Danio rerio: one gene and its partners. The protein of the gene in region 1 purifies or fractionates together with the protein of each later gene. This does not show direct contact. Links are inferred from orthologs where the notes say so. Each region holds a gene or a part of one and is shown on either strand. Other genes may lie near its edges.

What was found.
Region 2: the proteins of wdr82 (region 1) and ppp1cb purify together in Homo sapiens (affinity purification with mass spectrometry; 5 studies listed by BioGRID and IntAct, with this or other methods). This does not show direct contact. The link is inferred for Danio rerio from reciprocal best matches to the Homo sapiens genes WDR82 and PPP1CB.
Region 3: the proteins of wdr82 (region 1) and setd1ba purify together in Homo sapiens (affinity purification with western blotting; 4 studies listed by BioGRID, with this or other methods). This does not show direct contact. The link is inferred for Danio rerio from reciprocal best matches to the Homo sapiens genes WDR82 and SETD1B.

Annotation. Positions count from the first base shown.
Region 1 is NC_133181.1:44,014,566-44,017,334, forward strand, and holds the end of wdr82 (WD repeat-containing protein 82), read left to right. Parts: intron 1-272; coding exon 273-342; intron 343-430; coding exon 431-573; intron 574-1,998; coding exon 1,999-2,028; 3' UTR 2,029-2,226; downstream 2,227-2,769. UniProt on the Homo sapiens protein: Regulatory component of the SET1/COMPASS complex implicated in the tethering of this complex to transcriptional start sites of active genes.
Region 2 is NC_133192.1:27,042,076-27,046,305, reverse strand, and holds the start of ppp1cb (serine/threonine-protein phosphatase PP1-beta catalytic subunit), read left to right. Parts: upstream 1-1,430; 5' UTR 1,431-1,451; coding exon 1,452-1,503; intron 1,504-4,230. UniProt on the Homo sapiens protein: Protein phosphatase that associates with over 200 regulatory proteins to form highly specific holoenzymes which dephosphorylate hundreds of biological targets.
Region 3 is NC_133185.1:47,244,527-47,248,265, forward strand, and holds part of setd1ba (histone-lysine N-methyltransferase SETD1B-A), read left to right. Parts: intron 1-1,882; coding exon 1,883-2,008; intron 2,009-3,739. UniProt on the Homo sapiens protein: Histone methyltransferase that catalyzes methyl group transfer from S-adenosyl-L-methionine to the epsilon-amino group of 'Lys-4' of histone H3 (H3K4) via a non-processive mechanism.

The DNA of each region.
Region 1 (2,769 bases):
GACATTTCTATGTAGTATATACTTTTTCATGCTGCTTGCTATAGTGCTACTGTGCTGTCATGGCATTTCTGGTAAATTGACACCTATTATTTAATGGGCTTGTTTTTTTTTTAACCAATGTAATTTAATCTTTTGAGGTAAAAAGTTTTTCAAAAATACTTAATATTACATCATAAATTAATAAATAGCCTAATTATTACAAAGCATTTATGATTATATTAGAAAAAAGCATAATAAGGCACTTTTAAGAGTGTTTCTCTTTCTTACTGCAGGGTTATAACAACAGTAAAGGTGTCATTTTGGAGGCTTCTTTCACACCAGACTCTCAGTTCATTATGATCGGTAAGTCTTCACTTAAGCTTCTCACAGGACTACAAAAGGACTTAAGATGAGTTTACAGAGATTGATCGTGTCTCCTCAACATTTCCAGGATCAGAAGATGGGAAGATCCATGTGTGGAATGCTGAGAGTGGGATGAAAGTAGCGCTTCTGGATGGGAAACACACTGGTCCTGTTACATGTCTACAGTTTAACCCCAAATTCATGACCTTTGCCAGTGCCTGTTCTAACATGGTAAGACTTAACCGAAGGTAGACACAAATCTGATGTTTGGCATAACTTACTGTATATGTAGATGGAATATGTGCAATTTGTCACATTTTCAAAACTTGTTTTGGGAGAAACTTGGAGGTAGTTATGAATTAGTTAGTCTTAGATGTCATGCCAAACACTGCTCACGGACATGTGGCTAAATGTCTGATGCATATGGCACACTTAATTGGAAACACTTTAACAGATCATCAGTTGTCCTCTGATTTCTGGGAGTCTAGTGTACAGCAATATTAACCAGTCCACCTGGAAACAAGTCTGATTGGATAAAAAAACTGCTGCAATGTTTATCTCAGTCTGCGTCCACATACATCTCCTACTGATTTCCTATATGTTTTGCTGACAGATCATTAAGTATATTGATGCGTTGTTGTAAACGTTTGAAGACCTGAATGGATGACGCATATGGCTAGGCATTCTGTAGACTCTTCCACGCACATACATAAGACACAACACAAAACGAATGGTTATTGGTTGGTAAAGCTGTCAGTCTGAAATGGCATCATGGGTGGTTCTTTAACCATTGAAATCTGCCAAAGTTCCCAGACCTTCAGCCATCAGTATATGCCTTAGTATTCCTGTTCATCTCAGTGGCATTTTTTTTACTTTGCATTCGTTTAGTACTCTATGCTTTCTGAAAATAATAAAATGTCAAATGGTGCAATCTAATCGATAGTATAATTTACTATAAAAGATTCACAGAATTTAAATGAATGAAAAGGAAATTGCTATGGACTGTAGTCTGTGAATGTTAAACTCAAAACAATTATTTAAGCATATGTGTTTTTTGTTTGTGTAAATAGATCAGAAAAATATTAGCCTCATTTTAAAGTATTACTTTTATTATTATTGTTTATTTTTGTGACTTGTGATGCAGACTTAAAAAAAAAGAACTTAAGAGATGAACATAAAACAACTGTATAAAACAGCCTTTTTAGTATAAGGTATTTTAGTCAGTAGCATTCACTGCTAATTTTTTATGGTAATTATTGGAGAAATGGAATGGGGAAAATGTGATATAAAAAGAGTACACAGGGTTGTCAAATTGTCCTTAAAATCTTCTGCGTTTTCTTTGTGTAAATACTGCAGTAGTCACTAATTGACGGCCATATATATATATATTTATATTTATATACACATACAGGGTGGGCCATTTAAATGGACACACCTTAATAAACTTATTGGGAATTTCACACAAAAAAAACAATGATGTGCTTGCTTTTAACAATTTTATTCTTTCATGAGTTATTTACAAGCCCCCTCACATACTATTGTGCCACAAACAGGACGTTAATATCACCAGCCATTCCCATTTTATTAAGGTGTATATAGATGCATCATTATTCCTGATGTATATCACAAACATATTCTGAAATGTCCCCTGCACAGGCGTTCTGGTTACCCACCATTGATGATTGATGGGCAGCTGTCATCAGTCGGCCTGTGATGTTCTTCCAGCAGGTGGCGTCATTCACCCTTCTCTTGGCACACATGAAGATGTTCACCGTGGGAATTTTGGACTGTAAATAGATTTGGCTTGATGCCGAGTTGTATTATTATTATTATTTTTTTTTCATTTTATATTTGTATGATTAAAAAGTTTTTGTAAAACATTAAGTGATCTGTTCACACATTCTGTTTTGTTTGAGGTTGTAACAGTGCTCAATGAAACTGAGGTGATGTAAAACATCCAGCAGAATTGATCTTAGCTCTCCAAACTATACCAGAAGTCAGCACCTGTAGATTTAGCATCTTGTGCGATCTAAAAAAAAAATGTCAATGGAACTTTTTTTTTTTTAATAAACATGTTTATACAACTTTCCAAAGATTTGGTTTTGAGGCCTTTCAGACATGTAATGCTTCTAGCTGTTGTGTGTAGTCCAGTATAATTGTGTCTGAGGGGAACTGCTTTTATACCATTATTTTACCTGTTTCTGTTGCATTTCTTTGTAATATCAGCATTGTAAATTGCTTATAAAAACAAATTTTATAATCAGTATACACTGACCAGCCTCTCTGAAGCGTCATCTTGTTTTGTAACTTACTTTGCACTAACAAAACAACACATTTTATTTATATGAGTTGTAGCTTTGTTGTCACTGTAATTTGTTTTATTTTTTAATCCAAATAGGGTTTTTTTTCAGGTTAGCCTCACACATT
Region 2 (4,230 bases), on another chromosome or scaffold:
AAAAAATTATATATAATAAGTATTTTCTTAACCTTTGATCTGTGATCCCATTAGCAAGTTATTTTTCATTAAATTGTGTCATTACACAAGACGTTTTTGATTTGTTTTGTTTTGTTGTCATACATAATATTGTACAAAATGTGTAACAAATACTGATCTATAATAGTAATTTTACACTACCTGATAAAAGTTTTGTTGTCTACCCCAGTAGTAGGGGCAACAAATAATAAATTGACTTCTAGTTGATCATTTAAAAAAGTGGCAGAAGGTAGATTTTTCAGATGAATCATTTGTTGAACTGTTTTCCAATCATCACAAATACTGCAGAAGACCTATAGGAACCCGCATGGAACTAAGATTCTCACAGATATCAGTCAAGTTTGGTGAAGGAAAAGTCATGGTTTGAGGTTCATTCAGTATGGGGGCATGCAAGAGATCTGCAGAGTGGGTGGCAACATCAACAGCCTGAGGTATCAAGACATTTGTGCTGCACATTACATTACAAACTACAGGAGAAGGCAAATTCTTCATCAAGCGCTCTTCATACCTCAGTTTCCACAACAAAGTTCCTAAAAGCAAAGAAGGTCAAGGTGCTCCGAATTGGGCAGCCTTGTCACCAGACATAAACATTATTGAGCATGTCTGGGGTAAGATGAAGGAAGAGGCATTGAAGATGAATTCAGAGAATCTTGATGATTGCTGGGAGCCCAGCAAGAACGCTTTCTTTGCCATCCCAGATGACTTTATTAATAAGTTATTTAAGTCATTGCAGAGATGTATGGATGCAGTCTTCCAAGCTCACGGGAGTCATACACAATAATAATTATCTTTCCACTGCAGCATGACTTTATATTCTAAACTGTACATTATTTCAGTTAAGTAACAAGACTTGTCTAAGCAAAGTCAGATCTTACTGTCCTAATTAAATAATTAAAAATCGAGGCATGATCATATTTTATTTCAGTAAAATAAGCTTAAACTTAATAAGCTTAGAAGTCAAGTTATTATTTGTTGTCCTTAAAATTTGGATAGACAACAAGACTTTTGTCAGGTTTACATCAGTGGAAACAAATACTAGTCTTTGTATTTTTAATGTGTTTAAGTTAAGGTATTAAAATTAAGTTTTTAACTTTGCATTACATAAACATTAATATTGATTTTATTAAAATATTGAAAAAAATAAATAAATGCCAAGAGTATACCTATTATGAAAAAAATCCATCTAGAAGAGAAACCAAATACACAAATAGCCAAACATTAAACAATAGGAAACACCATTAACAATTAAACTCCTATCAACAGGTCAAAAGTTTGCCTTCAAACGCGATTAAATATTTATGAAAAGGTCATTAATATTGACGTAACTGCTTGTAACCAAGTGAATGACGTCATTGCAAGCGCCACCTAGCGGCCGTTGCTTGAAGCGCTGCATGCAGAACTCGGCACTGAAGATGGCGGAGGGGGAATTAAACGTTGACAGTCTCATCTCTCGACTTCTTGAAGGTAAGCTGTTTGAAAATTTAGCCTTTCTAACGTTTACACGATAAACCCAGTGATTAGACACTAGTTGTGACTTGTTTTATCGCCGGTGAATTGGAAATTTTGCGTTTAAAAAGAGAGCAAAGCTTCGGGTCTCTGCGCCCTGTTTACAAACACGGCAGTGGCCCCGGGGTTTGGGCAGCTTTCATACCAGCGCTGGGAGGTTCAGATTAGATCTAATATCTACCAAAGCAGGGATGAGACGCGAGGGCCTGTGGTTTATACAGCAGATGTTTAAAGAAAGCGAGAAATGGGAGAAAGGGCAGGACGATGCGGTGCTCGCTGCGTCGTCGACTTTAGGCGAATGCAACCGACGTAAACCCGATTCTCCATTAGACTCTGCTTCTACTGGTTTCAAAATACAGGATTACCGTGTTATTCACCGTGTACGTTAAAACTCTTGATTTATGTGAAACAAATGGATTTTCTAAATCATCTTATTAATGTTCACGGTGTTTTGTGTGTAACAATACACTCAATCTTATCCGTAATTGTACAATGTAAGTAACGTTACAATTCACAGCGTTACATTATCGTTACTCTTCATATTTCCCTTTTAATATGTATTATTTGTCATAATTTTTCTTCCCTTCATAAATACATATTATCTTTATACCGTTGCATACCTTTAATGTCTCAATGCTTTCATTGGAAACGTTTGTTATAACTTTAGTAAAGCCATACAAAGAATGTAAGGTAACATTGAGTTGTATATGTTGTTGTTGTTTTTGTTGAGATATAGGTGCTGTTTTTTACTCAGACATTTAAAAAGACATATTTTAGAGCAGTGATCACAATACCGTGAAACTGTGATATTTTTATCCAAGGTTATCATACCGTCAGAATCTTATATCGGTCCATGCCTATTTATCACTGCATATTCACAAGGTTTCATTGCTATAAGGCCGCAGCTAAATTTGGTTGTCAGTTCAGATTTGATTGTTTAAATCTGTGCTGTTTACACAGTTCAGTCATTTATATGAGTGGCAACTACAGCAAGTGCTTTATTTCAAGGAAATGCAATTGATGGGTACATATACAGACATTCTACAGCTTGTAACAAAAAAAAATTAAATAATAACTAAATGTTAATGTTGTAATTGACACAGCAAACCTAAAAACCAATGTTTTAACTTAGAATAAACAAGCTTGTAGTGATAAACTGTATTTTTAATGTCAAAAGACACTTCGCAAGGATTGCTTGTAATTTGTATATGTGGCAAAACTTGAAGAGTGGCCTCTGTGAAGCAGCCTTCTAAAGAAATGTGTTTAAAGTCATCTTTAGTAGCTGTTAACAAAAATGTTGCTATGGTTACCACATTTACATTGTCTCTTGTTTTACTCACGATAGTTTGCAATTATTTGGGGGATTCCTCCTCTATTTAAATACAATTAACACTTTTAAAGCGTTATTTTGTGTACTTGGCCGTAGTAATGTTTCACTTCATTTCCCTAATGATTTAATTGCTTATTATTCCCCTTATTATAAGATTACACTGAATCCTCCTCTTAATGGCATTGAAAGCTGTATATTTCCTCCCGCGTGCTGTAAGGAATGTTACACTATATGTAGTTGTACTTTTAGGCCAATTCACAACTCTCAGACACAGATAACTAGGCATGGGCCAGTATAAGATTCTGATGGTTTGATAACCTTTCAAAAATATTGTGGTTTCTTGGTTTTGTGATAACTGCTCTGAAATATATGCTCTTTTTAAACCTCTGGGTAATAAACAAAAACTTTTTTCCCCTTTGAACACAATATCTTTCATTTTGAAGAGAAATGTTTAAAATATTTTGTAACAGTAAACATGTCCAAATAGTTCAAATGAATCCTTGTCTTTCTGTTATGAAATGAATCATTGTCTTTATTAGTTTTAAAAAAAGATTTTTTTATTTTATTTAAAACAACGTCTTTGGATATCTTTTCTGCTAGACATTCTGTTGTCCTAAAAACAAAAAAAGTACACATATCTTAGGAATGACATTGCAGAAAATTTGACAGTTTTGCACCTTGACTTTTCCAAACTGCGATATACCTTGAAAGTGGTGATTGTTTCATGTCTACTGACAGCTGGCAGTTTTATTGAATGGGTGAATTTTTTGATTCAGTGTTTATTAGATTTGCGAAAGGTTTGAGAAATTATATGCTGTTATCTGGTGATTGTTGGCATTTATTGGCATAGTAAAATACATGCCAAATAGAAATAGCCATTAGAATAACTATAGATAGTTACTTTTAATAAGTTAGAATTCAATAGAAATTTAATCTTAAGGCTCGTACACACCGGGACGCTTTTCGTTTGCGTTTATGGTCAGCATTTTTCAAGGTGTTTTTCCGGATTCAAACCCAAGCAATTTTGCAAAAGACCCAAGCAAAAGGATATGCAAAATTACTCCTTGACGTTAGATGACGCTACACAACTTTAAGCTTCTGACATTCGCATGTAACACTAAAGAAGAAGACAAAGTTGACATGCTTGTTGTTATGGATGGTTCAAGTAGCAGCTCCAGCTTTAGCGATGAGGAAATGATTATTGTTCACCAATGCAATAAGCAGCTCCACCTTCATATCGCCTCTAGGCATCTTCTTGACAGCTTTGCGCTTGAGAGCCTCCAAGTGCTGTTTACTGTAACTTCAGCAGCTCCGTGCACGTGAACAAAAGTGCCAACCTGATTGGTGGAGAAGGT
Region 3 (3,739 bases), on another chromosome or scaffold:
AGCCTGTAACCATTGACTTCAATAGTATTAAAAACAAATGCTATTAAAGTCACTATTAGTTACAGGTTTCCAACATTTTTTAAAATAACTTATTTTGTGTTCAACAGGAAAAAGAAACTCAAACAGGTTTGTGAAAAGTGAATAATGAGTGGAGAGGAGACACAGTGATGAAGCCAATTATGGTATGGGGAATGTTAGGGGGCCATGATGGACAGAGGCCAGTGGGCAGATTTGGCCAGGATGCCAGGGTTAAACCCCTACTCTTTTTTTGAAGGACATCCTGGGATTTTTAACAACCACAGAGAGTCAGGACCTCGGTTTAACGTCTCATCCGAAAGACGGCGCTCACTGAATAGTATAGTAGGGCATTATACTAGGGCATTAGGACCCACCCAAATCACAGGTTAGGTGCCCCCTGCTGGTCTCACCAGCAACCTAGCTTTCCTATGTGGCCTTCCATCCAGGTACTGACCGGGTCCAGCCTTGCTTAGCTTCAGTGGGTGACCATGTGAGAGTTGCAGAGAGCTAGCTGCCGGATAAATCAAAATAAAAACAAAATGACATGAAATCACAGGCGATTGTCTTTTGATCGAGTGCACCTGAAAAGACATTCCTCATAGAGCTTAAGAAGCATACAGTCCTCTAAGATCTATATAATTTGTAAAATAAAGACTTGCAGGTTAAGGAAACAGCATAGGAGGTAGTTGCCGTGGGCTTTGGTGCAAATGAAAAGTAAAAAAAAATAAGTTGTATTTATAGCTAGATAGGTAACTAGATAGAATAGACAGAGATAGATAGATCTGTGCAGCAGCTGCCGATGAGTTGCACGCTGCAGATGCAGTCTGTGTGAAAGGCAAACGTCTGCGTGCTGCTTGCGTTGTGAAATAGACGTAATTGTGCCTTCTCTTTTTTTTTTAGTTCTTTTTAAGCTTATTTTAACACTTTTTGAAATCTGTTTAAATTTTAAATTCTTTGTTGTTTTTATTTCTTATACTTATTGTGTGATCATTTTATAATTAATTTAACCCTTGTCTAATGTTCAAACGAACTACTCTTTCGTTATGTTGGTGGCTGTATTTGCCCTATTGACTTTGATTATAAGGACATTTTTTGATTGCAAAGCCATGGCAGCATATACTCATGTATTCTTGATTGTTGGTGGTTATTCCTGTGGGGAGTTTCTACTGTTGATCATCAGTTGGCAGCACTTACACTTTAGATGTGCAAAAAGCTTTCTGGCATTTATATGAAGTTCTGTAAATTATATGGAGTAAAACAGCAGATGATAGCGTGTGTGCAGAAATACACTTACTGTGTTTACTATGTGAAGAGAGCTGAGCTGCTTATTTTAATTTCTCAGACATATCAAGGCAAGAGCTTAAAGGTCTCTCACACACAAACACACTATACTCTATATAGAAGGCAGAAAATACGCTTACAGATTCAAATAAAACAATTGACCTTCCCAACAGGATAAACCAGCAACAATCAAGAATACATGATTATATGCTGTCATGACTTTGCAATCAAAAAAAGTCATTATAATGGAAGTCAGTTGGGCTAAATCAGTCCCGAACATAACAAAAGGGAAGTCAATTTGCCCAGAGTTTATTGTTGAATTAAAAAAAAAAAAATCGAAGCATTTTCCCAAAATATGTGTCAAAATAAGATTTTGTCACCAAAAATCATTCCATTTGCTGAAACACAGAGAACAGTGTGGCCAAACTAAGACTCAAAATCCCACCAGAGAGGATGAAACCCTCTCCAACAGCACACAAGGGTTAATCTTGGTTTATGTAAAGTATTTTGGACTTACCTCTGTGTATGAAATGTGCTTTATGAATAAATCTGCCTGGCTTTAGACTAATGTGTTTTGTCATAGGGAAAGAGTATACCAGCGCAGCCCCAAGTGTCCACCAGAGCAGGTTCAGAGCGGCGGTCCGAACAGCGGCGCTTGCTGTCGTCCTTCAGCTGTGACAGTGATCTCCTCAAGTTCAACCAGCTCAAGGTAAGACAAGCACAAACCAAACTATTTACAGTACTGTGCAAAAGTCACTAGTATTTTCACCAAAGGTTAAAGTGGGTTATTTCTATAATTTTCTGTAGTATGTCAGTTTGAAATGTCAATTTACATTTACCAACATTATTTCTGTCATTAATTGTAATTATGCAGCATGAGATTGACAGGTGGATTGGTGCTGTGGCAGCATTAATGCGGTCGATGTACCGGTCTGTTGTGATAGAGAAGGAGCTGAGCCGAAAGGCAAAGCTCTCAATTTACCAGTCAATCTACGTTCCTACTCTCACCTATGGTCATGAGCTTTGGGTCATGACTGAAAGGACAACATCTCTGATACAAGCGGCCGAAATGAGTGTCCTTCGCAGGGTGGCAGGGCTCAGAGTAGAGCCACTGCTCCTGAACATTGAGAGAAGTCAGCTGAGGTTACTCGAGCATCTGTTTCGGATGCCTCCTGGAAGCCTACCTAGGGAGGTGTTCCAGGCATGTCCCACCTGGAGGAGACCTCAAGTAAGACACAGGACATGCTAGAGGGACTATGTCTCTCGGCTGGCCTGGGAACACCTCAGGATCCCCCCGGAGGAGTTGGATGAAGTGTCTGGGCAGAGGGAGGTCTGGGGTTCTGTCCGAAGACTGCTGCCCCCACGACCCAGCCCTGGAAAAGCAGTAGAAAATGAATGAATGAATGTATTTATGCAGTGAGATTAATGTCTGAGGGTAGGACTGTCACCTCACAGCAAGAAGGTTGCTAGTTCGAGTTCTGGCTCGATCAGTTAACATTTCTGTGTGGACTTCTCCTCGTATTGGCATGAGTTTCCTCCGGGTGCTCCAGTTTCCCCCGCAGTCCAAACACAAGCACTATAGACTGTTTCAATGTGGTCATGTCATTGGTCCATGAACATTTAATTTATAGGTTTTAATTTATAGTAGCCTAAGTTATTTATTAAAAATTGTGTATTTACTGAATTGGGCCTATATCCTAAAACATTTCTGCAGTGTTATGAATGTGTCAAAGTTATAAATGTGTGTGTATGTGTGTGTGTGTGTGTGTGTGTATATATATATATATATATATATATATATATATATATATATATATATATATATATATATATATATATATATATATATATATATATTGTTATTCCTATTATTATTATTATTAGGTAAGATATTGTTTTGTATTTCTTAATAAATGGCCTACTATAAATTAAAACTATTACCGGTATGATTTATATAAAAGATTACAATTGTGTTTTTTGTAAGTGGTCTTATGTTTTAGGATATAATATGGCATATTCCTGATAATATTTGTCAAGGAAACATACAGTAGGCCTTATATGTGGGACGATATAAAACGAGTGCATGTTTTTACCACAACTAATATTAGATTTTTAATTTATTTTTTTAAGTGTGTGTGTGTGTGTGTGTGTGTGTGTGTGTGTGTGTGTGTGTGTGTGTGTGTGTGTGTGTTAGTTAAACAGTTTGCACAAAGCTATGGGGATCATTATGGCGTCATTTTAGATGTTTTACATTATAACTAATGTGGTTTACACAATGGATCTGTGACAGAGAAACTACGGTTTTGGGAAACACTTGTCACTACATCGTTCTGTTCCCAAATGATGCATCATACTATAATAGTTCAGCCACGAGTTTTGTCGTTGTTTGGGAAATGCACCCAGGTCTTCATTGTTAATGAGAACTGGTTTTCAATTGACT